4 linked regions of the Danio rerio genome follow. The protein of the gene in region 1 interacts with the protein of each later gene in a pairwise test. Links are inferred from orthologs where the notes say so. Each region holds a gene or a part of one and is shown in the gene's direction. Other genes may lie near its edges. The genes, in order: fam168a, sf1, rbfox1 and dtx2.

Region 1 (7,855 bases):
TTTACCATAGTAGCATATAGGCCTACTCAAGTTTTTTAATCAGCGAAAGGAATAACTGTATATATTTATTTTGCATCAAAAAAGCATTTTGATATTGATAAAGGTGGGCATGACTGCATTATTATCTTTTTTTTTTTTAAGTCGACTATTGTGCATGAACACGTTTGCATCTAAAAAGTCCATATCAATGAATTTTAACTTTGAACCACCAGGTGGCAGTCTTTGTACTTATATTTCGGAGTGCATATTGCATACGTTTTATTAAAATATATATATTTACTATTTTCCCAAGTGTACATAACTACTGTAAGAAAATATCAGCATTTGGTACCTACTTTTAGTATTATATTTGCTTGAACTGACCCGATCTAATCCTGTTTATATGAAATGAACCTGCTCCCAAGTAGGTTTGAGCTACCAGAACTCAGATGAGTCTCAGATGAGTTTTGAAGAACTAAACCATCCTGGATCGTGTCAAATCGTCATTATCCAAATCCAGCTAATTGAGAAATCCACGTACGAAGAACAGACCCCTGTTTGTACCTGATGATTATTTATACCAGGGGTGGCCAACCCTGTTCCTGGAGAGCCACCTTCCTGCAGATTTCAGTTGCTACCCATATCAAACACACCTGAACCAATTAATTAGGATCTGAACATTACGAGAGAATTACTGGCAGGTGTGTTTGATATGGGTTGCAAATAAATTCAGCAGGATGATGGCTCTCCAGGAACAGGGTTGGGCACCCCTGATTTATACAGATAATAATTCAATATTATTTAAGTCTTTTTCTGAAAATGTGTCATCAATCTGCACTTCGGTAACTTTTTCATACACAGAACTGTACAGGTTTATGTATTATCTATATTCTAAAGGCTTTTAGCCGAGGTATTTGTTCACACATAACACACATTCCTTAATGAAACTATTTATTTTGGCTGTTCACTGTGTATTTTGGCTGCTCAGTGTTTTCTGAATTATGATTATCAATATCAATGCAGCTCTATCTGTCAAATACTTGCAAAAACATGACTTGTGGCAGAAATACTTCCAAATGAGTGCATATTTTTAAACAATGTCTCATGTGCATATTTATACATGCATAACATTTTAGAAAACTTGTAATACAACAAATGCAAGCGGTCAACTCTGGAAGTATGGTTATTTATATAGTTTTTTCGTCTTACTCTATTCTCCTACAGTGTCTTGCATTAAAAGACTTGGCTTTGTGCAGCTCAAGTCAAACTTTGTGTGCTTTTGTTTCTACTTTTTGTATCTTCCAGTGAGTCTCAGACTAATAGACCATTTTGAGGGATGTAAACAAAAACCATGGTCCTAATGTATATCCTGTTTTACACTTGTAATTTCTATAGCTTCCAAAACTCCAAAGAGTCACATATTGATAATGTTATGAGAGCAGTTTTAACATGAAGTTGTAATTGTATTGTCTCTTTTTACAGTTATGAAATAGTTTGATAACAAGCAGGACATGTACATGGGCCAATGACATGATCACATCGAAAATGGTCTATAAATACCTAATAGATGGTGTGTGTGTGTGTGTGTGTGTGTGTGTGTGTGTGTGTGTGTGTGTGTGTGTGTGTGTGTGTGTGTGTGTGTGTGTGTGTGTGTGTGAGAGAGAGAGAGAGAGAGATACTTCACATACTTCACATTTTTGCATGCATTACCGTTGCGCACCAGAAGATGGCGTCATTACCTTTGTTTATTCCAGCCAGGTCATATGGTTATTTTTTGCTCATCCTATGTGTTATACTCGATGGAGATGTCTCAGATGTTTGCGCAGCCTGATGATCCGTCTCTCTGTCTGTGTTTCAGGATATACTGCAGGAACGCCTTATAAAGTGCCCCCTACTCAGAGCAATGGAGCCCCTCCACCGTACTCCCCGTCCCCAAACCCCTACCCCACGGCCATGTACCCCATCAGAAGTGCCTATCCACAGCAGAACCTCTATGCTCAGGTCAGAACTGCACTAACACACTTGCGCCCAGTTTCACAGACATGAATAAGAGCAAGGGTGTCAAACTCAATTCCTGGAGGGCCGAAGCCCTGCACAGTTTAGTTCCAACCCTGCTCCAACACACTTACCTGTACGTTTCAAACAAGCCTGAAGGACTCAGTTAGTTTGATCAGGTGTGTTTATTTAGGGTTGGAACTAAACTGTGCAGAGCTGCGGCCCTTTTGGAACTGGGTTTGACACCTGTGGCTTAGACTCAGATTACATTAAAACTAGTTGCTGTCAAAAGAATAGTCATGATTAATCGCATCCATTCATTCATTTTCCTTCGGTTTAGTCCCTTTATTAATTAGGGGCCGCCACAGCGGAATGAACCACCAACTTATCCAGCATACAGTATGTTTTACGCAGCGGATGCCCTTCTAGCCAAAACCCAGTACTGAGAAATATCCATACATTCACACATGCACTCACACACTTATAGCGCACGTGTTTGGACTTTTGGGGAAACCGGAGCACTCAAAGGAAACCCACACCAACATGGGGAGAACATGCAAACTCCATACAGTATTGCCAACTGGCCCAGCCGAGACTCAAACCAGTGACCTTCTTGCAGAGAGGCGACAGTGCTAACCACTGAGCCACGCCCCTAATCACATCCATTAAAATATTAAATATATTTTGTGCGTACTGTGTAAAATTTTGTGTATATAAATATATGCATCACTAAGTTGTATAAAATGTTTGTTTATTCATATATATATATATATATATATATATATATATATATATATATATATATATATATATATATATATATATATATATATATATATATATATATATATATATATATACACGTCTTAGTGCTGGGCTAAGATTAATAGCATTAAAAATAAAAGTTTGTTTTGATCATCCAACCAGGATTAGGTTATAGTTTAATTAGGGACTATAAGTAAAGTATCATTTACTTATGTGCCTTAGAAAAATCATTACTGGTGTCCATTGTAAGACTAAAATCAGACTTACATTTTTGTTTCGTCTGTGAAATTATTATAAGAGACAATTCCATCAAATCTAATAAGAATAAAAGGTCTCAAAGAAGAATATAGGAATCTAACACTGCACTAATAAGAATATAAGGTCATTTTGTTGTAGTATGGATTTCTTTAGCTATTTTAACCCATAGCTAACAGTCATTTTTTACAATTTTCAGCACAGTATATTCAGAATCTATATGCACTTTTTATTATTTTATATAGATAGATAGATAGATAGATAGATAGATAGATAGATAGATAGATAGATAGATAGATAGATAGATAGATAGATAGATAGATAGATAGATGTGTGTGTGTGTGTGTGTGTGTGTGTGTGTGTGTGTGTGTGTGTGTGTGTGTGTGTGTGTGTGTGTGTGTGTGTGTGTGTGTGTGTGTTTGTGTGTGTGTATGTATATATATATATATATATATATATATATATATATATATATATATATATATATATATATATATATATATGTATGTATGTATGTATATATAATCGCCACAATCGAGAGAATGTGGAAAACGGTATTGAATGTTACTTCATTTTCACCTTGGTATTTGTCTATTTATTGCCTTTTTATGATAAAAAGAGAATTATTTGAAACTTAATTATATATTATATATATAAATTTTATATTTTAAATCTGTTTTGTTCAAATGCACCAAAATAAATTGCCTATATTCTCTGAGAAATGAATACAAATATTCAATTTCAAAATAGGGTGTACTCAATTATGCTGAGCACTGTATATGCACATTTAAAATTTTAGTTTCTTGAGATATTATTTAAATATATACCATTGTAGGACATTATAATTAATTATTAACCTCACTAGAATTCATAATTACTCAGTTCAGATTTATAAAGCCTACCTATTGTACATATTTATGTTTATTTCTTACAAAACAGTATGATTATGTGGCAATATATGTTTATTAAAACACCTTTAACCCTGAGATCATTTTACAAAAGTATTTTTAATACATACTTATGTTCAAAATGACACATTTATATAATTTAAAAATCTCTCTTTGGGTATTTTGAGGGTTTTAAAGCATCTGATGAACATGTTTTTCTTTACTTAAACTATGTATTTCTGTAGAACCTTTTTATGTATCTTTAACAGATCAAAACAGCCCAGAATGCATCAGAGGCTTAAAATATTGCTAACAGTTGTGTTTATGCATTTGGCAGACACATTTACACTTGGTTAGCATTCCTCAAAAAATATTTATATAATGATATCAAATAATGACTGAGTTACCAGCAGAATCGGCTGATTTATTTGCTCAGAATATTCTGTTTTGCTCAAATGCTTCATGTCAAATAATAGACTGGAAATGTTGTTTGAGTATCAAAATGTATTATGATGCTACTATAGTGCAATTTTAATTTTACTTTACACCTTTGTAGCACTTATAATTATTTTAAGTTAGCTTTTATATGTACAGTTTAGCATTTATTTTAATAATAGTTTTAGTAATTAAAAAATATTCATTTGTTGTTAGATTTAATTTCTATGGCTTTTATTTATTTATTTTTATTTACTTAAATTGTTTTACTTATTAGCAATTAGGAACTGAAGTAAAATCAAGTCAAATTAATTAAATTAAATAAATAAAATTGCACAAGCTTGAGTACTAAAACATGCTTAAATAAATTGGTTAAATAGTAAAAGCTGTATGTAAAAATACAATAAAATGTAAATATTAGATAGATTCAACCGGCAAATAATAAAATAAAATAAAAAAATAACATTAAGCAAAGTTTTTCATTCAATTATTTTAAATGTATTTTAATTATATAGTGTAACATTTAGCGTAATGGTAGTAACACAGATTCAGTACCATAGCAAACACTGCAGTAATATGTACTGTGTTGGAACATACAGCACTGCACTTGTCATATATCTGTTGATTGTCAGCTGTGTGTGTGTGCTGTAATGTTTGTGTGTGCGTTTTTCTCCTTAGGGTGCTTATTTCACACAGCCGGTGTATGCAGCTCAGCCTCACGTCATCCACCACACCACCGTGGTGCAGCCCAACAGCATCCCCTCCGCTATCTACCCTGCTCCGGTGCCCGCGCCACGTTCCAATGGGGTGGCCATGGGCATGGTGGCCGGAACAACCATGGCCATGTCTGCCGGTAAACCACAAATAAATCATTACATAAATCCACACTTTCTGTCTGATCTTCCTATTTCATGTGTATTAAAATCACAACAGCTGGAAAAATATAAAGTAAATATATATAATTATTTTATACAAATAAATATATATATACAGTTGATGTCAGAATTATTAGCCCCCCTGAATTGTTAGCCCACCTGTTTATTTTTCCCCAATTTCTGTTTAATGGAGAGAAAATGTTTTCAACACATTTCTAAACATAATAGTTTTAATAACTCATCTCTAATAACTGATTTATTTTATCTTTGCCATGATGACAGTAAATAATATTTTACTAGATATTTTCAAGACACTTCTATACAGCTTAAAGTGGCATTTAAACACTTAACTAGGTTAATTATGGTAACTAGGCAGGTTAGGGTAATTAGGCAAGTTATTGTATGGCGATGGTTTGTTCTGTAGACTATTGAAAAAAAATAGCTTAAAAGGGGCGAATAATTCTGTCCTTAAAATGGTGTTTAATAAATTCAAACTGCTTTTATTCTAGCCGAAATAAAACAAATAAAACAAATAAGACTTTCTCCTGAAGACAAAAATATTATCAGACATACTGTAAAAGTTGTCTTGCACTAGTCAATATAATTTGAGAAATATAAAAAAAATAAAAAAATAAATGGGGGGTTAATAATGCTGACTTCAACTATATATATATAATGTATATATATATATATATATATATATATATATATATATATATATATATATATATAGGATGTTTAGAGTGTAAATATTTAAAAATATGAAAAAAGAAATATATTAATTTTTTATTTTTATTTTAGTTCATTAGAGAATCATTGGAATATTAAGTAAAGATCATGTTCCGTGAAGATGTTTTGTGAATTCCCTACTTTAAATATATCACAATGTAATATTTGATAAGTACGCATTGGTAAGAACATAATTTGTTCAACTTTAATGTTTTTTTTGATAATATTTAGTTTTTTTTTTTACATTTATGACTTGTTTTGTGTTTCAAGGCCACACACACACACATACATTACACATGCAGTTGAAGTAAGAATTATTAGTCCCCCTTTTAATGTTTTTCTCTTTTTAATTATTTCCCAAATTATGAGAAAGGGAATTTTCACAGTTTGTCTGATAATATTTTTTTTCTTTTGGAGAAACTCTTATTTGTTTTATTTTGAATAGAATAAAAGTAATTTTAATTTTTTTAAACCCATTTTAAGGACAAAATTATTAGCCCCTTCCGGCTAATTTTTTTTTTCAATAATCTACAGAACACATCATCGTTATACAATAACTTGCCTAATTACCCTAGTCTGTCTAGTTAACCTAATTAACCTAATCGAGCCTTTAAATGTCACTTTAAGCTGTATAGAAGTGTCTTGAAAGTTATCTAGTCAAATATTATTTACTGTCATCATGGCAAAGATAAAATAAATCAGTTATTAGAGATGAGTTATTAAAACTATTACGTTTAGAAATGTGTTGAAAACATCTTCTCTCTGTTCAACACAAATTGGGAAAAAAATAACATAATTCTGACTTCAACTGTGTATATATATATATATATATATATATATATATATATATATATATATATATATATATATATATATATATATATATATATATATATATATATGAGAAATAAAAAATTTCCTTGCTCTGTTAAACATAATTTGGGAATTATTTAAAAAAGAAAAAAATGCAAAGGGGGGCTAATAATTCTGACTTCAACTGTGTGTGTGTATATATATATATATATATTCCGCTGTGTGTAGTCCCCAGATTAATAAAGGGACTAAGCCGACAAGAAAATAAATGAATATATATATATATATATATATATATATATATATATATATATATATATATATATATATATATATATATATATACATACATACATACATACATACATACATATTTCTTTAAATAATTTTTTACCTAACATAAAATGACCATAATAAATGTTTTGAGTTTAACAATTAGTTTTATCTTTGATAGTGTTAAATCTCTCAATCGACATATCCATAGCTTGAATAGATGCTTGGATTGCTGCCAAAATTGGAGATAAGGCTGTGGTCTCGTCGTTGACAGTAGCACTAGCCGCTTATTCATTCAGAGTGTGCTTACATTGGCCGGTTGATCACATTGCTTCATTTTAGGTTTCATCATCTTGACTTCAAGCTTAAAAAGGCGTTGTTTTGTTTAGATCATAAATAAATTAAGCTCGTTTTTTTCAAGATTATTGAAGGAGCTCTTCAAACTAGGTACTAAAGGAGTGCTCAACTCTGTTGCTGGAGATCTACCCTCCTGCAGATTTCAGTTGCAACCCATATCAAACACACCTACCTGTGATTAGCAAGCGCTGTTCAGGTCCTAATTCATTGATTCTTGTGTGTTTGATCAGGGTTGGAGCTGAAATTTGTTGGAAGGTAGTTTTCCAGGAGCAGGGTTGACCACCCCTAGTCTACTCCATTCGGTGCTCGAGCGCTCAATAATTGCATATATCACAATTATAGTGTCTTTTGCAGACTTTCAGTTCTTGAAAAAGTTAGCATTTTTAATTAATGTCTATATTTTAAAACACTAATTCATCCATTTTTATTTAGATATATTTGTTAATAATATAAATTACAGTATTTAAAAAATTAACATGATATTTATGAAAC
Region 2 (8,621 bases), on another chromosome or scaffold:
ACCTCTTCATACTATGTCCGTGAACGGAGCCCGGTCCGACGAGCTCCACACGAGGCGGAGGGATACGCGTATGAGCGGTCGCGCCTCTCTCCCATCTCTGTGCTTCCCAGGACTGCTGCGTATGACGTGCCGCGGGACCCATACGCTGAACGGGCGCGCTATGCTTACTAGCCTAATTCCTGTGCGCACTCAGGTGAGATCTTTTTAGGATCATAAAAGGTTAGGGCACAAACTGAAAGCTGTTTTCGGGGGAATTACTATCATCATTTATTCACCCTCGGATACTATATAAAAAAAATATATATATACATATACATACATAATGTCAAGACATACTGATTTGAAATGGCATGAGGGTTAATAAATGATGATGGAATTTTTTTTTTTGGATGAAGTAGGTTTTTTTAAATGCTGTCTATCATTGGGAAGCAATTTTTATTCATGTCAAATTACCTGAATCTTACATTTTGCAATGTCCATATTACAATTAATTATAACCTCATGTATTTAAACTAGAGGCCAAATATGGTCATAAATATTTGACACATTATTATTTTTAGATGTAATGAATGTATTACTTTACCTATCAAGTGTCTTATTTACATTTCAGGTATTACAGTATTGGCACGTGGAAGTCCACTAAACTAAAGCCGGAATGATTGACAGTTTTGTGATAATCTCTTCTCTGTGCAGGTGGCTCTTGGTTGCACACGGAACATTTTAGAAGTTGTGATGCTTCCTGTCTCGACTGGGTCACAGGCAGTAGAGATGGCCCACATCTCAGCACTAATCTACTTTTATTGTCATAAACTTGATGTAGTCCTGTGTTTTTGTTTTATTTTTTATTTTTTTTTATTCTTGGTACAAAAACCTGTAAATATTTTCTTCATTAATTAAAAAAAAAAAAGTTTAAAAAAATCTTGTCTTTTTTTTCTCTCTAGATCAGGGGTGGCCAACCCTGTTCCTGGAGAGCCGCCTTCCTGCAGATTTCAGTTGCAACCCTTATTAAACACACCTGCCTGTAATTATCACGTGGTGTTCAGGTCCTAATTAATTGGTTCAGGTGTGTTTGATATGGGTAGCAAATGAAATCTGCAGGAATGCGGCTCTCCAGGAACAGGGTTGGCCACCCCTGCTCTAGATTAACACAATTGGGTTTTTGCAGTTGCTCTGGACACATAAATTGGGTCAAAGACACATGGTGGAAAACGGAAAAATTTAATTTTGCAGTTTCCCTTTATTTAGTAAATCTTGGAGAGCTCCTATCAGAGAATCTCACTCAGGCTGATAAACAATATTATATTGAATCATGGTAATTTATGTCAATAACAATGATAAGCTCTGGACTTATTTACTCCGTATGATCTAAGAGCTAATCAAACAGCAGAAATGTGCAACAATGGGAATCGAAAAGTATGATGATATTAGAGATGTGAGGATTTAAGAGATTTTCAGTCACCAAAAAACTTTGGGCCGACAATACATTATGCCATTTAAGGGACCCTCCAATTTTTGTACCTTCAGTCATTGTTGGGGTACTCTTTTAAACCTGGAAGCTTTAACTTGTATAAAACTATAAATCATTATGGTTCAGTATGGAGAATAATTATCGAAATTGTGTTTTATTTTAATTAGCCTTTCTTTTCTTGTTTCTTCATTGATATTCTTGATTTCCCTTAGAAATTCTGCCATGATGGGATAATAGATAGACTTCAGCATGCCAAGACTGATTTAAAGAGAAAAATGAACATTTGTCATCATTAACTCGGTCTTTACTTGTTTAACTTAAACTAATTTCAGTTTCTTCCTTTTTTTTTTTACACAAAGCATAATATTTTAAAGAACCATTGACTTCCATACTATTTGTTTATCCTACTTTAAGAAAATCATTAAAAGAATTAAAACCACACAAGGTTGTGTAAATGTTGAGTTATGTATATAATTTTTGGGTGAACTATCACTTTAAATTTGTAAAAGCACAGATAATTTTTTTAAAAACAATTACTAAAATCAAATTCATTACACCCACCTGCCCATACCATAAAGAAAAATACTTGAACAGGTAAAGGTTTTGCACCCACACACACCTAATATTAATAATGATAATACGAAAACACATCTATATTAACAATAATGATCATTTTGAAACGAAAACTAGTAAGTGCTACAGTGTTTGTGCTGATGTGTGCTATAATTCTAGATAGGCTACCTGACGACTCATTGAATCCATTAAAAATATGATAACCATAAATTCTATCATTTAATAAACTTTATAGTTTGAGTTAATAGTTAATTTAAAAATTAAGTTATTACATTGTTCTGATATTGCTAAATTGGGTGATTTGTGCAAATGCATAATGTCGGAGACTCATGTGTCTGTAGAGGACATCAAAAGTAATGAGATATAGCTTTTTGAAAACTGCTAAACAGCATTTTAAAACTGCACTTTTTTGTTTTGTTATTAATTCTCATTCATTCATTTTCTTGTCGGCTTAGTCCCTTTATTAATGTGGGGTCGCCACAGCGGAATGAACCGCCAACTTATCCAGCTAGTTTTTTACGCAGCGGATGCCCTTCCAGCTGCAACCCATCTCTGGGAAACATCCACACACATATTCACACACACACTCTTACACTATGGACAATTTAGCCTACCCAATTCACCTGTACCGCATGTCTTTGGACTGTGGGGGAAACCGGCGCACCTGGAGGAAACCCACGCAAAGGCAGGGAGAACATGCAAACTCCACACTGAAACGCCAACTGAGCCGAGGTTCGAACCAGCGACCCAGAGACCTTCTTGCTGTGAGGCGACAGCACTACCTACTGTGCCACTCCTTTGCCCGTTATTAATTCTAAGGGTTCGAATTATACAAATGTAGAATAATTAGCAAGGTCAGGATATAATGTAACTCAGTAGTGTAAATGGGAAAAAAATAAACTATAATACAAATAAAATCTAAGTTTTAAATGTAATTTTATCACTCATATAGACATACTGTATCTACCAAAACCTGACCTGCACAGTAAGAGTAGATAAGATACAGCTGTGTATATGTATATCATCATTTTTTGTGACACTGTATACCAATAATTAACATGTTTACAGTACTGTGACGGTTGGATTTAGGGTTAGGGTAGGGTTCATTTATTTTCATGAGCTAAAGGGTTCATTTAATCCCTTTATTTATCGGGGGTCGCCACAGTGGACAGAACCACCAACTTATTCAGCAAATTAGCAATTCCAGCGTTATGGATGTGACATTTGCAGTAAAATCTCAGAAACAATGCTCATCAAAAGGATAAGAGTTGGCTCATTATAAAACAAAAATGATTGATTTAATTTAATTTGACATTTTTCCATTTACTAGGCAAAATCTTCGTTATTGATGTGACAGATGTGGAATTGCCACTCATGTGATTTTGGTAAGTCAAATATAATAGTTTGAAAACATTAATGGAGACATTTTTGAGTATTTTAAAGCACAAAAACCCAGAAACAGTTTTGCTATTTTGTCGAAATCTTTTTTATTTATGGCAAGGTTGACATTTGCATGGAATTGCTCCTATGTTTTACACAGCGGATGCCCTTCCAGCTGCAACCCAATACTGGGAAACATCCATACACTCATTTATACTCATTTTCTCCACACAGAAAGGCCAACTGCCAAAGCTGGGGCTTGAACCAGTGACATTCTTGCTGTGAGGCGACAGTGCTAACCACTGTGAAAAAAACACTGTCGCCCTAATAAAATATGGGAAATGTAATTTTCGTTGTCTGCCAGCCATAACCGTATCTGATCTAGCTACAACCTGACCACACCGCACAGAAAGAGCCAACCTATCCTGGAACATATGGCCGGCTTGGCGACCAATGAGAGGTAAGTAAATTGCTCCGACGGAAACACGACAGACCTTAAATGATCCAATGAATGTTCCCCAAACACAGATTGACACGACTATCGACCAATCGGATATTTCTAAATTGACGTCAAAGCTCCTTTGTCGATCTCAGCGGACGCCATCTTATCCAGCGGGTGACAGAAGAAGGTTGCGTGGTCGGAGACACGCGTTCGTATCAATTGATTTATCAACAAAAGAAACGGATACATTCTGTGCAGATATCGAACCACGAAGAAGCCCCTGACGCCCAGAAATGGCAACGGGAGCTAACGCAACCCCGCTTGGTAAGCTGCACCCGAGCATCGGCGCTAAGCGAGGCTTTGACTCTGGCCCCGGTCCGGGGTTAATGCCTCCGCCTGGGCCTTCGGTGCCTTTCCCGCTGCAGAACTTCCAACCGCCACAATTATCAAATCCTGGGTTCCCGCAGTTTCCCGGAGCCGTGAGCTCTGCGCTCTCAAACCCTATCGTAGTAGGACAGCAGTCTCAAGCGGGAGGCGGAGGTAAACACCGTGGACAGGCCTTGACTCCTTCAGGATCAACGGCCTCCATTTATAAAAGTAGAATGGCTGGTTACCGTCATTAATAGTCTTACTTGTTTTTACAATGCCATTGCATATTAAAAATCTTTGGAATGTGTAATTATTTAACATGTTCATTTGGGGGATCAAAACTTAATCTAACGTTACACGTTAAAGTATTGTGTTGTATTTAACACTGAACTCTGAAATGAAATATGATGCAGAAAAATCTATTGTTTTGAAATCGAGCAGTGTTAACATTAGACAATAAAGTGCACACTGTTTTTTTTAATATAGATTTTTTTTTTTCAGTTTAGTGCATAATATGGTATAAAAAGGGTTGGGAGCTTTTACACAGCAAATGTACATGCCCAGACTGAACAAAGATGTTTATTACATTGCAGTGTTTATATGGCTAACGATGTTAAGTTAATATAACGTGGCATTTAGCAGCAAACTGCTTGCTTAAACTGCTAAAAACCTTAGAATGCTGTCTTAAATATTTCTTAAATTATTAGTATGTTTCGTAATATCACTTTTATGGCAAAGAATAAGTCCTTTTCCAGGTCTTTAAAGTAAAATATTTCAACATAAACAAGAGAGGCAAAGGTGAAAAATTGATGGAAATTTCAGACGGCACTTAAGAGGTTTTTGCATCTGAACTCTTCATATTTATAATTTCTTTTTAATCAAAGAAAAAATCCTATGTTTACTTTTTAAAAGTGTAATAATTCAATAAATTAAACATTTTGCATCATAAAGACATGGTGAACGTTTCTGTGAAGTTTTGGTCTTAATTTACAGGCTTTAGACATCCACAAATCAGACATAATGGCTTAATTTGTTTACATCCCCTGTCAGATTTTGGACAGAAGAAACGGAAAAGAAGTCGCTGGAGCAGCGAGACCCCTGATCAGAAGACTGTTATCCCGGGCATGCCCACCGTGATCCCTCCTGGGCTGACTCGGGACCAAGAACGAGCTTATATAGGTGAATATCTAAAATTTGCTATTACAACATCTGTCAGAGTCATAGAGTTTAGGTTGCAAATAATTTTGTATGTGAACGGGGGAATATTCTGTCTACACCCAAACAAGTCACTTTTTTTTTTTTTGTCCCAAAACTTGTTTATAATTTTTTTTCTCACAGTTTGCACATCACATGAAGGATGTAACTGCTTAATTTCATTAGTCTGACTTCTTTGCTGATACAACTGATGTCAAATTAGTGAAAGAACCTTTATGTTAAAGCAACAGTTCAAAACGGTCATCTCTATATGTCTCAAATGACTTTATAGAAATGGTCTTCTCAAAGAAGTCAATCCATCGAAATTCAGCACTTTGCCCCATATTTACTAGAATGCACTAACTCCATCAATGTGCAATGTGAGTGCCATTTATTTATTTTTGTTCGTTTAGGACACACTGAGGTATTGGTAGCACTGTCAATGTTTGCATATACCATCTGATGTCCATTAGCAAGAACCCACTGTGTTTTCTGATGTTGCTGCTTGCTGTGAACTGTCTCCAGCTGCAGAACTCCATCACTGCTCATGTTTACTATGCAAAAAATGTCTCGTCCAATTCGACTGCGAAAGCAATGCAGGTCCGATACTGAATTGCTAAAGTCATCTCCATCCCCTTGTGTCTGAAAGCAGTGTGTAGTAAATTGCTTTCTCATTGCTGTCAGGCACTTGTTTTGCAGTAGCATGTGGTGTAGTGTTTGTTTCGACTATAATGTGACCTAGACCTACATCTCTTTAACTACTCCTCCTTTTGACAACTGACACCTCATGTCTCTTACCCACCATCAACCTGCACCATTCAATGTGGGGTCCGATTCTCTTAAGCATGTCATAGAGAAATGCATGTGAAAGCCCATGAAATGCTTCCATGAGTGATGCAGTAATTTGGTTGGTTACAGGTCAGTCTTTGGGTTTGTACAGGCTGATTTGGTTGGCGTGGCTTGAGGCCTTAGTAAAATAAATTGCATGATAAAACGACCTGCTAAAGGCTGATCTGTTTGTCTTAGAACTTATTTATAAATATTGGATTTTACTTAATTGAGTAGTGTTTGTAACTACTGGTAAGTTGCTGACGTGTCAATAACTTGAGTGTTGAATGTAATTGTTTATGTATTGGCTTTTCACACCCAGTGTTAATGACTATTTTTTTAACATAGTAATTTAATTTCATTACGCTGGTGTTATTCTATAACTTTTTATATGAGGATGCATTTGCTCAAGCCATTTAGCCAATATGTTTTTTGATTTCTTCAAACACAACTTTTTTTCCCCCCTCGACAGGCCTTCATGTTTTTGCCACCTTTTTAGCTCATGTGAACTAATGTTTTTAAGGATATGCATAATGTGAATTTTACTTCTCAGAGTTGGTGGCATAAAATGGAAAGCCTGTTGCTATGATCTTTTTCTGAAATTGTTATTTGCTGAAATCCCTTCAGGTTTCTGAAATTAAAATTGGCTGAACATTTGAAACTTGAATTTCTGATTATTTGGGGAATGGGCTCATGAGAATACACTCAAGCTTAAACCGAAGTATGCTTTGCAGAATTCCTGTCGGGCTTTCAGTGTTTCAGAAAAAATACTACAGAGGATCAAATGTCTTTACTTGACCTTGATTCTTAGTGAACTGTCAATTTACCATGGTAATTTTTTGTTTGTTGCTTAACCCTAGTCACATTGAGTTTTACAGTGTACTGATTCTGGTTTTGTGGGGTCTTTTTGTTGTTAACCACATTTTTCTCCATCCTTGTTTTTTTTTCTTTCCTAACCTGATTTCTTCCAGTCCAACTGCAGATTGAAGACCTGACACGTAAACTGCGTACAGGAGACCTGGGAATCCCTGTTAACCCTGAGGACAGGTCGGAATAACGATTTAAACCCACCAACAGTAACATTTTCTTTACCTTTTCAATGCGCCAATTTAAGTGAGCCCAGTTCGTAAGTGTACTAGTGTCTATGTAGGGGTAAGTAATTAAGTGACAGAAATAAGTTTAAATGCCTTGCTTTTAACTGACATCATATCTTTGCCTCTTAATTGAAGAGTTTTGAAAGTTCTTTTATTGTAATTAAATAGATTGTATTACAAACCTAAACTTTTCAGTGTTTTAAACACTTTTTGTATTTTTAAAGGGTCACGAAATGCCAAAACACATTTTTTGAGATCTTGATAGTTATATAGGTGTCTCGCGTTGCTAAAAACGCTATTAGGACACATTAATTTAGCTAAAAAATGAAAATTGGTTGTTTTTGCATTGTTTAGAGCAAATTCATTCTCCTGGGTTGAAAGGAGAAATTTTGTAGCAACATCACAGCGATGAGATCATTATGTAAATTCCAGCGTGGAGATTGGCTGTCTGTACCAGTTGGTACAAAGTGACACAATTGAGTTTTTATTCAGCGTGCTCTAATATAAACAAGATGCAACTTCATTAATATGCATGATATAGCTTCGAAGCCCCCTTTTACCTGTTACAATGTTTAGAGAGATACCATGTTGTGTTGCCAATCATAATTCAAACAAGTAGAAGAATTGTTATGAGACGTGAGTTGTAAGTGTTGCATTTATAAATGTGCCGCAACAGGTTTTGTTTCCATTTCCCTGTGATGAGAGCACAGCTCGCATGTGGACCCACATGTGTGGATTACAGTGGTTTGCTAACATGCGACAAAAATGTTTGTAAGGGACTTTTTTTTTTTTTTTTTTTTTTTTTAAACGAGAGCTTTTCGAAAATGATGAATTGACGAATCTAGATTTGCCACTCATCTTTTAAAAAAAAAAAGAAAAAAAGACCTGGTTCCAGTTTTGATGTTTACAGGTTTAGTAAGTGTGCAGTCAATGTTCTTTGTTTGTTTATTCAGATGGCAAAGTTAGTTAGTATCATCAGCAGTACTCTTATTTTTTTGAAGACATACCTTAGTCAAAATGTTTTAGTTACGAAGTTACTACAATATTAAGGACTAAAAGATCTGCTGTAAAATGCTGCTCCGAATGCAAACACCTTAATCAAACTATTACTGTTGTGTAGTATTTTTTTCATGGCCCTTTAAAAAACATCTGATCTGTTTTGTATGTGGAGGCAAAGATTAGAATAAAGGCTATTATTGTAGGACATTGTCATACAAAAAAATCTGACTTTCATTGGCTAGCCAGTGTTACATGCTTTTGAAATTAAGTTGTC
Region 3 (7,379 bases), on another chromosome or scaffold:
ATTTGAAGAAGTATTGAAAGAAAACAAGAACAAACCAGCTCAGAATATGGATGTTTTTGTGTATGAATATGAATGCGGGATGGCACGGAGGCTCAGTGGTTAGCACTGTCACCTCACAGAAAGACAGGTTGTAGTCGTGGCTGGACCATTTGACATTTCTGTGTGGAGTTTGCATGTTCTCCTCATGTTCGCGTGGATTTCCTCTAGGTGCTTCAGTTTCCCCCAAAGTCCAAAAACATGCGCTATACGTAAGTGAATTGGGTAAACAAAACTGGACATAGTGTGTGTGAATGCGAGAGTTTATGGGTGTTTTACAGTACTGTGATGTGGCTGGAAGGGCAAAAAACGTATCCTGGAATAGCTGGTGGTTCATTTCCCTTGGGGCAACTCCTGATAAATAAGTGACAATGCCAGGGGTCTCAAACTGCCGGCCCGCGGGTCCTTTGCAGCCCCCTTCCTCCTCCCTCCGCCCCGCAACTGACAGAAATATAAAGAGTTTCGGCCTAACAAAACTTATATTTTTGAATCACTATCTGTGCAGTTGCATATACACTTGTGGTTTTGACCAACCACCTACTGGACATTTAAGGTACTGTACTATATATTTGGGTTACATTCGGTTTCTGTCGGTGTGCGGTTGAGAGTAAATCACATGCAGATTATTTCTGGGGCTGATTTAAATGTTGTAATATATGTCTGTAAGTGCTCTATTTTTACTAAAGCTATATTTTTGTAAATATTCAAGGGCCATTTGATTATAATCCATTTTATAGCACCTGTATTTTGTTGTACAAACACTTCTTCATGGCTTACACGCTATGCTGGTGGTGTGAATATGATAATTTTGCTAATAATCGATTCAAATGGTCTCATTTAATAGATTGTCTTGATTCGCATATTAAGATTTGAATTAAAAAAAAGTGCATTAATAAATTTTACTGCTGGCGAAATTGAACATGTTAAAGTAAATGTGAATAAATACATACTTTTCCCATCTTTGTTGTGGTTTTACAAAAAATAATGATATTGAGAAGAGCAGTTGCTAGTACAGTCAATAAAGTTACCCAAACTGCATTTAGCTGTTTCACACTACATGTTAAACTTTTGCTCAAGCAAAAATTGATTTTGACATAATAATAATTATTATTATGCCTATTATTAAATTGTATGTTTTCCATATCAATTTAAACTACCCCTTCAATATGTACAACAAGAAACAAAAAGAAGGAGCTTTGACACTCTGTGGAAGAATTTCTGAGTGCATCAGTTACATCAGGTTTCCACTTTTTTTCTGTGCTAGAATGTTAAAACGGCCCTCCTGTGAATTGTCAGTCACTGACATGGCCCCCCGCCCCCGCCGATTTGAGTTTGAGACCCCTGGACTAAGCCAAAGAAAAATGAATGCATGAATGTGTATGCTAAATGATTTCGCAACTTTATTGCACCCATATTTTAACATATTTTACAAGTTATTAGAAACATTAAAGTAGACCCTTTACTTGAGTTTAATTAGCTTTTTCTGTGTTTGTAAAATCACTTCTGTAAATTTAATTTAATATGAAATTGACTCCTATACTCAGTTAGCAAATGAAAATAAATAAATAACATACTCAAGCTCTTGAAGGCTGCGCTTAAACTGCAGATCTTTATGGTCAATTCCGATTTTGTGGCTGTATCCATTTTTTTTGATGAGCCGCTTACATCATCATTTAAAAGTTACTCGAATCTGATTGTCTGCATTTACACTGCACGCAATGACAAGATGCAATGACCAGAAAAAAAAGAAGGGACACTGACTGACGGCTGATAATAAAAGAGCACCCTTTTCTCCATTCATGTGTTTAATCTGTAATCTGTTAGTTGTTTTACTATAGTTCTCATTGTTATCCATCTTCTTTTAATCTAGGCCTTTTTAAACCACTAGGCATCTTAATGTAATGTCCATGGCGTGATTTATGCATGTGATGCAATAGTTTTAAGGTGCGTTCAATTTCTTGCATCTCTGCGCAGACCGATCAAAATCTGTCTTAAAGTGGTGCATGAGATCAGACAATTAATTCAGTCGGTGCAACGTTAGAAGAGCAACTGCAGGAGCTGTGATGACGACACTGATATTACACTATTGGCTGAGTTCAGCGCATAACAACAACCATGTGTGTATCGGGTTTATTATTAGACAACTTCTTTTCACTTTTTATGCCATCTCTATCTTGTATATGTATCATGCTTATTAAATGACAACTAATATTTGACTAGAGTAATAATCTTTTGTTAAATAATTAGTTTATAAAGGCTGGATTGTTTGCATAGGTTTATTTTCTGTCTTTTTTATACAGACTATAGCTCCATGACTCCAGACTTTATAGAGCATTCAGCTCCATGAAGAATTTAAATTATAAATTGCAGTGAATAACCTAAATATTAACTTAAATAAGTTTTACATACTTTTAATAAAATAATTATTATAATTAATCTCAAAACCCTAAGGCTTTCTTAACAAATTAAGGTAAAGAACTATTTTATTTAATAATTATAAGAATATTTATCCTATATGGTTATAAAATATTTTATTTGCTGTCAAGCCGTTTACGCACAAATTTTAAAGGTGACATTGAGGTACCTTGCTTTTTCTGTTTAAAGAGTTGCTCACTTATTTTGAGCTCACTTATTTTATTTTTTTAAATGCTTTCATTATCCAAAATTATTTTAATCATTGTTTAAGACGTAATCAAAACACCTTGTTTTGAGTTTTACACAAATATATAATGGAAAGTTTTATATCTACATTTACATTTAGTCATTTAGCAGACGCTTTTATCCAAAGCGACTTACAAATGAGGACAAGGAAGCAAAGGTAAATAAATGTAAACCCATTTTTAGCATATTCAAACAAAAAGTATTAGCCTAAAGAGTGATGTTTAAAGTTCTAGAATTTGTGCTTATTGTTTTGTATTTAATAGGCCTATTCATTTTTATGTTTATATTTCTCTCTCCTTTCCCCTTATTTCTCTCATGCATTTGTTATATAATTAATTCATAGTTCCCTTATTGTTTAAAAATTAACTAGTCGGTAGAGACTGTATTCTGTTTTATGTATACTGTAAATCTTTTGTTGTTATACAATACAATATGTATTTATAAAGCACATTTAAAAACAACCAAGGTTGACCAAAGTGCTGTACATAGGAGTACTAAAGACAGAGAAGAAAACAGAATATAAAAGAAACATTTAGCAATTAAAAGCAATAATCAATGATCTGTGCTATTTAACAATATAAATGCTTATTTTTTGTTCTAGTATATGAAAAGTAAGGTTTGGGACTCTACTGAAGTCTGTTCCGAGCATCACAGCTGACATCATTCGATATGGTTTTTAATGACGCACGATTTGCGACTCGAATTGATAGGTGAAAATCCGATCTACTTGTTTACACTACAGACACGAGGGCACGGATCTGATCAGATAAATTTCCACATATGAACAAGGCCTGAATCTGATTTGAGTAAATCAGACTCCATTCGATTTTTTTCCAGCTTACACATACATGGGCCATATCCGATCTGTGCCACACGGGAGAAAAATTCGGAATTGGGTCACTTGAATCATGCAGTGTAAATGCAGCCGAAAGGTACAGTTTCAACAGCAAAATTTATCAAGATTTCACTAATGTGACCACAACGTCATTTTTTCTCATATTTATCTTTTGTTATTTAAATGTTATATAATTATCTTGTTTTAAGGATATTTACTGGAAAATCTGACCATTATTCGGATCTCCCTGCATCCATGACTTTTTCTTTTTTTATTATTATTATTTGCTCTGTTAACTCATGTACATTTCTTTCAGCCCTTTTGCGTTTTTTTTTTTTAAGTAGCTAAATGCATCTGTTCTGGCATGAGCTGTGTCGGTGTGCTTGCTGCATGATGGAACGTGATTGGTTTTCGTCCGCGGGGTACAGTATGTACAGCAAACAGTCTGAATGCTAGCATAGGTCTCATCTGAGCTGTGTCAATTAAACATGTCCAAACCCGTGGCTTCTCTTGCAGAATGCTTTCGCACCCTTGACTGATGCCAAGACCAGAAGCCACGCCGATGATGTGGGTCTCGTTCTTTCTTCTTTGCAGGCTAGTATATACCGAGGTGGATACAGTCGTTTCGCGCCATATTAAAAGCAAACAAAAAATGCATTACAAAAAATCATAATAAAAACAGACAAAAAAAAATAAACATTTCAAAACCTATTGAGAATCTTCCTGTGGGGGTAAAGGAGGAGTAATTCAGAGGCCTGGGTATTGCAATACATGCAGTAGTGCATCATTTTAGCATCTCTCAAGAGAGAGAAGACAAAAACGGATATTTTTCATCTTATACCTCAGATATTTTGTGCTGTGTATTTTAATATTGTGGGTTTTTAATTTCTAAAGATTACATAGATTGTTGGCTGTAGAGGTTTCTGTGGTGATCTAGAGAGCTGCTAGATTTTAAAAAGACGAAGAAGAAAAAAAAAAGAATAATAAGATACAAATTGTTAGGGCTTTATCATGTAAATGAGTTCTGTATGATAAATATACGAGTCACTTTGGGGTTATCATATTTTGTAAGAGTGTAAGTGACTAGAGTCGTCCAGTGGTTTCTGCTTTCGTTGACATTGCCTTTACGTCTTTGTTTTGTTCTTTTGGTTTCAGTTGTTTTTGGGTTCTGTGGCGTAGAGGACGAGCACGCAGGGGATGGTGGGTACGAGTAGATACGGGCGTCTGCGTGGTAAAAGGTCAGTGTAGTTGCAGGAGCACAGCAGAGACACAGAGCCGGTCAAAGAGACCACGGAGGTATCGATTATTTAAGCTGTCTTATATCAGTCATTACTCAAAGCCAAAGGTTATGTTCCTGGGGTGTTCCGTGTGTAGATTCCAACTATACATAGCAGCTCGTAGAAACTCCCCGAAAAGTTCACCACAACAGTATTTTACTGTTTAACTATTATCTAGTCCCTAAGTCCAACCCCTCGCTAGTTTAGGCCTACCACGAGATGTTCTTTTTATATATTACGGTACTTCCAGTACGTCGATTGATATAAATGCTGACTTTTATAATACGGGAGAGACAAAACACGACGAAAAAAAAAAAAACGAAAAAAGAAAAAAAGACGCCGACCATAGCGCCGGTTCTATTTTAATTTAGTTTCTTTTACCTTTTGTTTTGTTTAGTTTTTTTTTTTTTCTCAAGAGTTTATTTGTACAAGCTGAGAGTGGGAAAAAATAAACTAACAGTGTATTAAATTTGATCTGTGCAGTGAAAATGTTCTCTTATACGACAAACACAACTGTATAATGTTTTAGATTTAGTGTGGTAGACCAACTGTTAGAGAAAGGTGTCTCATTTTTTATGGAATCATACACAGATTTATATCAACACTTTACAAGTAATGCAATCATTATGTAGATATAATCATAGTATTTTTGTCAACTGTACAATTTTGCACACACGACCTGCAATTTTTTCATCACAACTTCTTCTCCTCCTTCTCCTCCTCCTCCTCACTTGTCTGTTTTCTTTCGTTTTCTCTGCTTCCTTCGGGTGTTTCGTTTTGATATCATTTTTAATGTGACATCCTTTGTACTATTATTTTCTAGAACACAGCCTTTACACTTTGAAACTGTTTGATTATCAAGAAACTGAGAACTATATGACTTGTGAAAAAGATATCTATATGTAAATAGGAATAATGATAACTATGTCATTTACAAGTGCTACACAAGCAAGCTGTCGAGGTGTTCTTGAAGAGTCGCAGCTTGGCTGTGCATATGCGAAGACTTCCCTTCATGTTGTTTACAAGTATACCTAATTAGAGGTGTTTGTCACATATCTCATTTTTCTTTATTTTGTATTTATAAAACGTTTCGATTGCATAAAAATACAAACAAAAGAGCAGCTCCAATTTATCCGGCTGCAAAATATCCTCTTGTGTACTGTGTGCGTCACATCACACAACTTGGCAAAAATATCTTACCCACTGCTGTGATTCTGCTCTTTCTGCTTTAAGTACGTGTTGTGGACAGGCTTTCTCCTTGTCATTGTATGTGCATGCACTATGATCTGCATAACAATAACCATCAATAAAGTTTCTCAAGATAACGGGAACGGCTCTCGGAACTTTCTTGTATTCAGATGACGGAGAGCGTTTGTCCTCTGATCTGATTTCATTGCCTGAAATTGCATTGCGATGCTCAAGGCGAAGGGGAAATGATCATCTCCGAGGAGGTTAAGTGGAATTGATGCTGCCAGGTCTGAGGTGGTCATCTGTGTGCCTTTAAGAAGACTCTGTGTTTAGGATGAAGGAGAAAGATCCGATTCCGGCGGCGTGATTAGGTTATCCCACTCGCTATCTGGGATATGAAAGATCTCAGATCCTGCAAATATTTCCACATATAAAAGAAAAGAAATATGGGCTTATTTTCAGCCTGGGCTCATGAAAGATGTGGTGACATTTTTGCTAAAATTATATTAGGCTGCTTCCTGCACGTTTGCTTCACTTTCAAAGTGAAACGTCGCTAAAAGTCATTTAAAATTTTTACTACAGTATGCAAGCAAACGCAACTGTTGCAACATTTTTCTTACAGTTAAAGTCAAAATGATTTGCCCCCCTGAATTATTATCCCCCTGTTTATTTTTTACCCCGATTTCTGTTTAACGGAGAAAAGATTTTTTTCAACACATTTCTAATCATGATAGTTTTAATAATTTATCTCTAATAACTGATTTATTTTATCTTTGCCATGATGATAATGAATAATATTTGACTAGTTATTTTTCAAGACACTAGTATTCAGTGTAAAGTGACATTTGATGGCTTAATAGGTTAATTATGCAGGTCGGGGTAATTAGGCAAGTTATTGTAAAACGATGGTTTGTTCTGTAGACTATCGAAAAAATATAGCTTAAAGGGGCTAATAATTTTGACCTAAAAATGTTTTTTAAAAATTTAAAACAGCTTTTATTCTAGCCAAAATAAAACAAATAAGACTTTCTCCAGAAGAAAAAACATCAGACATACTGTGAAAATTTCCTTGCTCTTTTAAACATCACTTATATTTTTAATATTTAAAAAAGAAAAAAAAAAGGGGGGCTAATAATTCTAACTTAAAATCTATATTAGTTTGTGCTTAGATTGTGGCTTTTTGAAAATTTTATTATTATTGTATTTATAAAATTAAATGTATTAAATGAGAGAAAAAAAATATATGATTTTGGATTGTCACGATCCAAAGATTAATAGCAAACTTTAACCCTAATCTGCATCATCACTGAAGTCGCACGCAATTTTAAGCTCTTCACATGAAAGCAAACTTAAGAATTCATTGAATTATTTTTTGTGCACAC
Region 4 (8,607 bases), on another chromosome or scaffold:
TTATCATACCCCCCACCCCCACCCCCCATTTAATATCTTTATCAAACTTTTAAGGACCAAAAACAAGCAGATGCATTTTGCTTAGTTAGACCTTGAACACTATTAAATGTGTTAATTCTGTTAACTGCACTGTTGTTAAATGTTTGTCCCTTTGCATTTTCAGCAATGGCCCATGTACATGGTGGACTATAGCGGCGTGAATGTTCAAGTTCCTGGCAAAGTCAAATACTAATAAACTTTACTGAAGACTTCTACCATTAAGGGACCTTTTTAAAAAAAAACCTGACATTTCTGAATGCTAGAATGAGCTTTCTCCAGAGCTGGGACGGACCTGCAGCTCATGCAAGGAGTCTCCTGTGTGTTTTCTGGCAGAGATTAAAGCGTGTGAACTGTGGGATGCAGTTGTTTCTGAATGAAGTGCTAATGATGGAGAAAGACAACAATAAATCAATCTGCCAGTGCTTTATAACGTAGAGGAACAGTGCTCACCCTCATCCCAGTCCGAACCAGGATGTTATCATTTTTTATCTGTACACTACCTGACAAAAGTCTTATCGTCGATCTCAGTTGTAAGAGCAACAAATAATAACTTGACTTTTAGTTGATCATTTGGAAAAGTGACAGAAGGTAGATATTTTTGATAAATCATCTGTTGAACTGCATACCAATCATCACAAATACTGCAGAAGACCTATTGAAACCCATATGGACCCAAGGATCTCATAGAAATCAGTCAAGTTTGGTGAAAGAAAAATCATGATTTGGGGTTACATTGAGTATGGAGGTGTGCGAAAGATCTGCATGAGTGAATGGCAACATCAACAGCCCAAGGTATCAGGACATTTGTGCTGCCCATTACATTACAAACCACAAAATTGCACTTCTTCTCATACTTCAGCCTCCACATCAAAGTGAAAGCTAAGAAGGTCAAGGTGCTCCAGGATTGGCCAGCCCAGTTACCAGACATACACATATTGACCATGTCTGGGGTAAGATGAAGGAGGAGGCATTGAAGATGAATCTAAAGAATCTTGATGAACCATGGAGTCCTGCAAGAACGCTTTCTTTGCCATTCCAGATGAATTTATTAATGTTATTTAAATCATTGCAGAGATTTATAGATGCAGTCGTCCAACCTCATGGGAGTCATACACAATATTAATTATGTTTCCACTGCACCATGTCTTTATATTCTATACTTCACATTATTTCTGTTAAGTGACAAGACTTTTGTCTAAGCAAAGTAAGACCTTACTGTCCTAATTTAATAATTAAAATCAATAATGATCAAGGCATGATCATATTATTATTAGTATTATTTTTTGTAAAATAAGCGTAATCTAAAAGCTTTCATATAAGCCACATCTGATACCAAATGATTAACTAGAAGTCAAGTTACTATTTGTTCTTAAAACTTGGATATGTGTGAAGACTTTTGTCAGGTAGTGTAAAATGCAAAACTTAGTTTTGCCTAAAAAGCTGTCAAAAGTGTTTCAAAAGTATTAAACAATGGTCACATACAGGTATGGAACATCAGATGAGGGTGAGTAAATAAGAGGTTGTTTGTAAAAGGTGTAGCCATTATTTGCGTATCAGATGAAATATTGCTTTGCCACCAGGATTTGTAATGTCAGATCCTGGACACAATCATGGTTAAATAACCATCTCATTAAACAGCAGTAAGAATAGCATTTGGGATTTGTTTTTAATCCAACATATGTCTAATCACTGTTGGGATACACAGCCTTTGTTTGGTGCCGAGAGAGCTCGTACAGTACGTTCATACTGTATACGACTAGTTATCATGCCTTGCGAATGTTTGTATTGTTATTTATTTATTTATTGAAATTTTTAATATGTGTATATGCAGGGAATGTAAACTCTGGCATTCAGTTAATTACATAAAGTAGCTTACTGAATGACACGGCTAACGATGCTAAAAACAACGAGCTACTTGTGTAACGTTTTTCGGAGAGGAACTTCTGCTTCAGGTTTTAAGCAAGTTGTAAAACCCCTAACACGATAGCACTAACTTATATTCAATCGAAAGACTTTTTTTTTTTATTATTATTTTAGCATTGTAAGTTACTCTTAAGTTCGTTCAATTGAGGCAAAGTGAGGTATTTTAAGGAGAAAACATCATGAATGTATTGTTTGTAAAGGAAAAGAATACTATAATGTGATTCTGTTATGACTGTCTCTGGAATCGCCAGTATTTATATGCTGTACCTTAATGCCATTTAGGCCTTTCAAATAAAATGTGTTGCCTTGCGTTTAACTGGTGTGTGTGTGTGTGTGTTTGTGTGTGTGCGTGCGTGCGTGTGTGTGTGTGTGTTTTTATTATTATGCAAGAAAGAACATTACAAAGATATAATATGAACAAAGAGACAAAGAGGGTTGCATAAATAGAATTCCAGCAAATTAAACAAGTTTAAATGATTTACACCAAGAAAGCGTTTTACATGCAGTGTAATTGTTAGAGTATTTTAAAGAGTTCACATACAAAGTCCTTTCTGAAAATTAAAAGTAAGGGTGTTTCTTTGAAAATTTACATTTATGGATGTAAAATTTTGCTTAAAAAAGCAATAAATTATTAATAAATTTACAATGAGAAGGATCTACACTCAGAGAGTAACCAAAGAATACAATTTTTGGGGAAATACAGAAGTTTGGAAATAAGAATTTTTTAATGAAATCGGAAAAGTCAACCCAAAACACTTTACGGTAAGTACACTCCCAAAATAAATGGTTTAGCGTTTATCATATTGACTACAAAATAAGCCTTTAGGGGAAATATTATTATTAAATTTAGCAAGTTTGATGTTTATTTAGTAGCACTTATGAATTACTTTGATTTAGACTTCAACAGCTTTATTAGATAAAAAAAAATTTTAATCTGTTTTTAAACTGAAGAAACTGTTCCCAATCCACATCATCAAATATATTATTCCAAAAACCTATGCAAGCAGGTAAAGAGATCCGAGAACTAGTAATAACGAAGCGAATATCTTTGCTAGACATAGAACTGAGAAGAGTTTTGTCAACAAAAAGATTTGTGTTGTCAAAAATAAAAGAATCTAAAGAACCTTTAGGGCCAGATTTGACCAAAGGTATAATACAATCAGGGATTGTACCAAAAACTATGGCATATTATTTAGGGGGAACAGGAAAATAGAACTGATGCATAAAGTTTTCGTATGAAAAAGGTACACCACAGTCATCTAAGAGCTATACTAAACTAAAAGTATATTTTTATTAAAGTGAGTGTGTGTGTGTGTGTGTGTGTGTGCGCTGGTTTTTGGTGGTTTATGAGGACAAAATTTTGTATGACCTAGGCATTACAATGTTGTGGTGGTTAATGAGGACATTACACGTGTCCTTGTAAATCAAAACGGTTAAAGTCATACTTAACAGGGTCTTTTGACATTACAAAGTTTGTCATGTTTCATTTGAAGTTGGGTTTAGGGGTAGGGTGTATAATAATCGTTTTTTTTACAGTATATAATACATTACGACCATGTAATGTCCTCATAAACGTGTGCGTGTGTGTGTAATTATGCACTGAAGCTTTACGCGTATACTGAGAATTATTTTAAAGTTATTTAGAAACAACTTCAGATTGAGTTTAGATGAATGGAGATTATTTTCCTGACACATCAGGATAGCATTAGCACCACCTACTGGATTGAAGACAGGATCACACATTTTCATCTTTACAGTTTTCATTTACAGTGGTAGGTTACAATTAACACGTTGTAAACCACAGGCTATTGTAATGAAAATTGTTATGGTTTCCAGTGTAATGCAAAAAAACGTATTACAATAAGATTTATTAGTTTTAACATACCACAAAAACAAAGCATACAGGCAACAAGAGACTCACAGGAAACATTTGCAGTTTCCATTACAACCAATACAATTACCATTGACACAATTACAAATTCTATTAAAGTTTCAGGATTCAGATCTTACATGACAAAAGTTTTATTACACATTAATTACATTTAATTACACATTAATTAATTCTGACTAATATTTTGGTACAATTGAGAACTCGTGTATTACAGATATTTAAGTGGGATTCTTGTGTTTAACCACAAATACCATATTTAAAATGTATTTATAGAAACATTATTTCTCTATTATAGATCAGTGGTTGTAACACAATAAATCACTTATGAACGTCATCTACAAAGAAAAACGCAGCGTGACTTTTATTTTGTTATTAGTCAGTGTATTACGCTTTTAAAATAAAAGCCATCTGCCGTTGACAACGTACGCAATATAAAGATAAGCATTCAAATTTTGAAGTTAACCATAGCAAAGCATAAACAAAGAATAGACAGTAGTCATTTAAAAAAATCGACATTGCTTTTATATTTGAACAATTTAAAATGTAAACATACCGACAACAAGACGGGTGCTGTTTGTGTCTGCCTTCACAGTGTGTATCTATGGGAATCCACCAGCAGCGACACAAACACACACCGCAGCAGAGGAAGTGTGTCACAAACCACTGCGTACTTTTAAAAACCATGCCGAGCGGCGAGTTTTAAATCACGACCATGCAGCATTAGCCGCCTGCCGACCTAACAGAAACTGTTATTTTACATGAATCCGATTAATGAGCCCGGTAGCCGAGCAGCATCGCACTGAATGGCGAAGAGAAGAGCGAGACGCGGCTAGTCTGAAGCTGCGACTCCAGCAGCCGAGCAAAGAAGATGCGACATCAGTGGGATTACCTTCAAATCTGCGGATAAATAAATGTTCACTCCTGAATTAAACACAGTTTTAACGACATCGAGCGATCTCTTATAGGATACTGCGGGTTAGCTGGGTGGAAAACGAGTGAAACTGAAAGGGTGGTGGTGTTGTTGTTAGCTGGGCCAGGCAGCCCCACTGCTTAACTCCGGCTTATTTTAGGATCGGTTGGGGTCATTTCTTAGCAGACACAATGGCAACAGGCTCCAGTTTCCCTTCCGGAGGGAGTGGAACTAGAAACGGACCGTCTTTCGCTTCGCCGTCGACTTCGTCTGTCACCTCGTCTGGGGTGCCCGGACAAGCTCAGCCGATGGCGGTGGTTTGGGAATGGCAGGATGATCTGGGCTTCTGGAGGCCCTACACCGGACAGGTGAGCAGCTACATCGAGCAGTGCCTCCAGCACCAGAGAGGGGCAGCGGTCGCCGGGAGCAGCATCTGTCTGGCTCAGGCAGACCCCAGCCTGTCCTCCTACATCATCGACATCCCCAACCTCAAACAGTTCAGACAGGACACTGGTGAGTCTGTACTCAACACATCAAACTGATGAATAACAGCAAAAAAGTACTATGAAACTTGTAGCTGTACATGGGCCTGTATAAGATTCGGATGGTATGAAAACCTTGCACACAAATATCGCCGTATTGTGATTAATGTTAATGCTATAAAACAGTTTTATTTTAAATGTCTAACAAACTATTCCCATCAAACAGAATATATTTTACTTTAAGAAACGTTTAAAATATCTTGGAACAGTAAATGTGAGGCTAAATGAATATAATAAATTCTTCAGTGTGTTAATATGGACACCAATAATGCTCTGATAAAGCATTGTCTACCATGTAAACAGAGATTTATGATTAATTTAATTTGATTAAGGTCTTAATCTTACTAAACAGAAATCAAATTAAGACATTTAGTCGCATTATTGAAATGTAGTACAGATATATAAACATGTAGGACTTTCAGTGAAATTTGCGACAGGATAGTCTATATGGCTGTACAAACACTATTCTTTGCATCTCTCGAGTCAATGAAGGACCACAGACACCTGCATCACAAAATGCGGAGGTTTATTTTCCCTCATCATATTACATTAAAACAACACTCTTCTAGCAGTTCATACTCGCATGCAATTTCTTATTTGTCATGGGGCGCATGCATGAAATGTTCCAGAATGAAAGTGAAAGTACCAAACTGCAGTAAAAGTCGACAACTTAAAAATGAAACACCTGAAATTACACGAAACCCAGCAGGAAATGTGGATAGCTAAAACAAGGCTAAATTTGGCCTGTCAGTGAAAATCTAATAGACATTTAAGAATCGGCCAACATTCGACTAGTCATCAAATAAACAGAAATGAATGACTAATGATCTGTTTAATCTGCATATTTGATGACTAATCGAATATATAGATTAATCAAATAGTGTTTTATAATTTTAGTTTTCATTTTTGGGTGAACGATCCCTTTAATCAACATATTTTATAATATTTTAGGCAAATGAAAGCATCACTTCAGGTGATGAATTACAAAACAATTGTGTGAAAGTGAATATCCATGTTTTACGTATGGCAAGCATTTTCTTTTTGTTTAAAATGAGATCTAATAGATGTCTAATAGACATCTAAGGCTAGATAAAACATTGCCAAACGTGGTTTGTCAGTGAAAATCTAATAGACCTCTAAGAATGGCCCTAAACTAGTTATCAAAACCACAGGAATGAATGACTGCACACGTGTGGAGTCTGTCTAATCGGTGTATTTGAGCACTAGTCTAGTTTTGGGCTGTTCTTAGACGTCTATTAGATGTTCACTGACAGCCTATTTAGCCAAGATGGATCTATTAGACATCTATTATGCATCTATTAAACAGAATTGCTTTGCAAGGTGTTGCATAAAAAAATGACTTTTTAATAATGTAAACAAAGAAAAATAATTTAAACTTTGCAGTAGAGAGAGACCTCTTTCATACACTGTAAAAAATGCCGGGTTCCACATAATTCAGTCATGTTGTTCCAACACAAATCGATTAATTAATTTAACACTTTTAACAAATTAATGTGGATCGAACATAAAAAAAATTAAGTTGTCCGAATGAACTCTCAAGAATTATGTTGTTTCAGCTCATTTTAAATAAGTAGTTAAACGAGCAAAACAAAATATTTTTTGAATGTAACATTAAATTATATTAATATATACATTTTTACTTGTCTTGGACTGTTATACTACGATATGTGAAGTTATTACTGTCTAGTACTGCCACAGCACTTTAAGAGAGTGTTAGGGAAATGTGCTTTTTGCTCATTTGGATTAAGTAAATGTGTTGTCAAGGAAGAGTCTGTAAAATCCACAGAGTGAAAGAAGCCCTGTGTGAATCTTGGCTGAAACTGATTAATTCACTTGCTCTAAATGTATGGTATTTATGCTTTATCCTTGATAACAGGTCATCAAAGCTGCTGGGAAAAGCAGTGTAGTGTGCTGCAGTATGACACATAGGCTTTATATATACTCATATAGATGGATGCAAAGTTTTAAAAAAGATAGCATTTTGTCTGTTAGCTGGAGATTAGACTTGTTTTGGTGGGTGTTTAAATGACTTCTGACACCTGTGGTCTCTATGGAAAAGAACAGGAAAGAGGTGACAAATCTCAGGAAACAAGCTAACAGATTCCGACAGGATGCACAGCGTACTCCATTTGTGAAATAACAGCTCTTTCTCACATTTGTTTTTAGAAAAGATGCACTTTGTTATAAGTTGAAAAATGTGTAAATATCTTTTGGAATGATGAAGATCTTTTGCTAATTACTGTGATGATCTTGTTATCACATTTTCTTGTTGCGATTAATTGCTGAATGGGATTCACTGGTAAAATATCCGTAAATTAGCAGTTTTCCATATTTTATGATTATTTGTGCTTTTAAATTGCATTATGGGACTTTGATTTTTCTTCCACCAATCTTTTACCTTGAAAAGGTCAAATTTTTAAATTATTTTTTTCATTTATAAAAGTGTAAAGTGATACATTTTCTGGGTTGTTGTTGTATATTTTGGTACAAAAACCTTGTTTACTAACTACCAGTACATTTTCTGGTATTTCACAGACTTATTTCGCTATATATTATTTCTTAGATGTTATATTATAATGAAAGTCACTTTGTTTACCTGTAGAGTTGAATTGTCAACGTCAAATCGACAGAGCAGAGATCAACATCCCGAAGTCCAATTCAGAACGGTGATAAATGAAAAACACTTGTGAAACACAGAATACAGAAACTGTTCATTAACAGATGTTTTTTACTGTATAGAATAGGGCTACACAATACTGGAAAAACCTGACATCGCAATATTTTTGTTCTGCAATCTATATTGCGATATTAATACAGTTTCGGTAGATGACTTTAATAGCTCTATTTGGAATGAAATCATTAACCTTGATTGGAATGATCATGTAGAGGAGTGAATCAAAGAAATTGCAAGTGTTAACGCTTGTACACACGAGGACGCTTTTCGTTTGCGTTTATAGTCAGCGTTTTTCTGGATTCAAACCCAAGCGATTTTTCATTGGAGTCGAGCAGAAGAGTATGCAAAATCACTCCTTGACCCTAGATGGCACTACACAACTTTAAGCTTCTGACACGCGCTTGAAACACAGAAGAAGAAGACAAAGTTGACATGCTTGTTGTTATGGATAGTTCAAGTAGCAACTCCAGCTCCAGCGATGAAGAAATGATTTTTGTTCACCAGTGCAATAAGCAGCTCTACGTTCATATTGCCTCTGGGCATCTTCTTCAATGTGCGCTTGCATTGACAGTTTTGCTCTTGAGTGCCTCAAAGTGCTGTTTACTGT

What was found.
Region 2: the proteins of fam168a (region 1) and sf1 interact in binary tests that used the Homo sapiens proteins (3 or more experiments, as listed by UniProt). The two-hybrid records come from large-scale screens. The link is inferred for Danio rerio from reciprocal best matches to the Homo sapiens genes FAM168A and SF1.
Region 3: the proteins of fam168a (region 1) and rbfox1 interact in binary tests that used the Homo sapiens proteins (3 or more experiments, as listed by UniProt). The link is inferred for Danio rerio from reciprocal best matches to the Homo sapiens genes FAM168A and RBFOX1.
Region 4: the proteins of fam168a (region 1) and dtx2 interact in binary tests that used the Homo sapiens proteins (3 or more experiments, as listed by UniProt). The two-hybrid records come from large-scale screens. The link is inferred for Danio rerio from reciprocal best matches to the Homo sapiens genes FAM168A and DTX2.

Annotation. Positions count from the first base shown.
Region 1 is NC_133193.1:4,902,287-4,910,141, reverse strand, and holds part of fam168a (protein FAM168A), read left to right. Parts: intron 1-1,837; coding exon 1,838-1,980; intron 1,981-4,994; coding exon 4,995-5,169; intron 5,170-7,855.
Region 2 is NC_133182.1:22,785,812-22,794,432, forward strand, and holds the start of sf1 (splicing factor 1), read left to right. Parts: upstream 1-4,020; 5' UTR 4,021-4,156; coding exon 4,157-4,403; intron 4,404-5,282; coding exon 5,283-5,411; intron 5,412-7,225; coding exon 7,226-7,301; intron 7,302-8,621. Other genes in the region: rbm4.1 (RNA-binding protein 4.1), read left to right, coding at 1-171. UniProt on the Homo sapiens protein: Necessary for the ATP-dependent first step of spliceosome assembly. Binds to the intron branch point sequence (BPS) 5'-UACUAAC-3' of the pre-mRNA. May act as transcription repressor.
Region 3 is NC_133178.1:26,725,866-26,733,244, reverse strand, and holds the end of rbfox1 (RNA binding protein fox-1 homolog 1), read left to right. Parts: intron 1-3,534; coding exon of another isoform or gene 3,535-3,629; intron 3,630-4,048; coding exon 4,049-4,171; 3' UTR 4,172-4,173; downstream 4,174-7,379. UniProt on the Homo sapiens protein: RNA-binding protein that regulates alternative splicing events by binding to 5'-UGCAUGU-3' elements. Regulates alternative splicing of tissue-specific exons and of differentially spliced exons during erythropoiesis.
Region 4 is NC_133180.1:65,405,482-65,414,088, forward strand, and holds the start of dtx2 (probable E3 ubiquitin-protein ligase DTX2), read left to right. Parts: upstream 1-4,441; 5' UTR 4,442-4,954; coding exon 4,955-5,276; intron 5,277-8,607. Other genes in the region: gtf2ird1 (general transcription factor II-I repeat domain-containing protein 1), read left to right, coding at 164-232. UniProt on the Homo sapiens protein: Regulator of Notch signaling, a signaling pathway involved in cell-cell communications that regulates a broad spectrum of cell-fate determinations.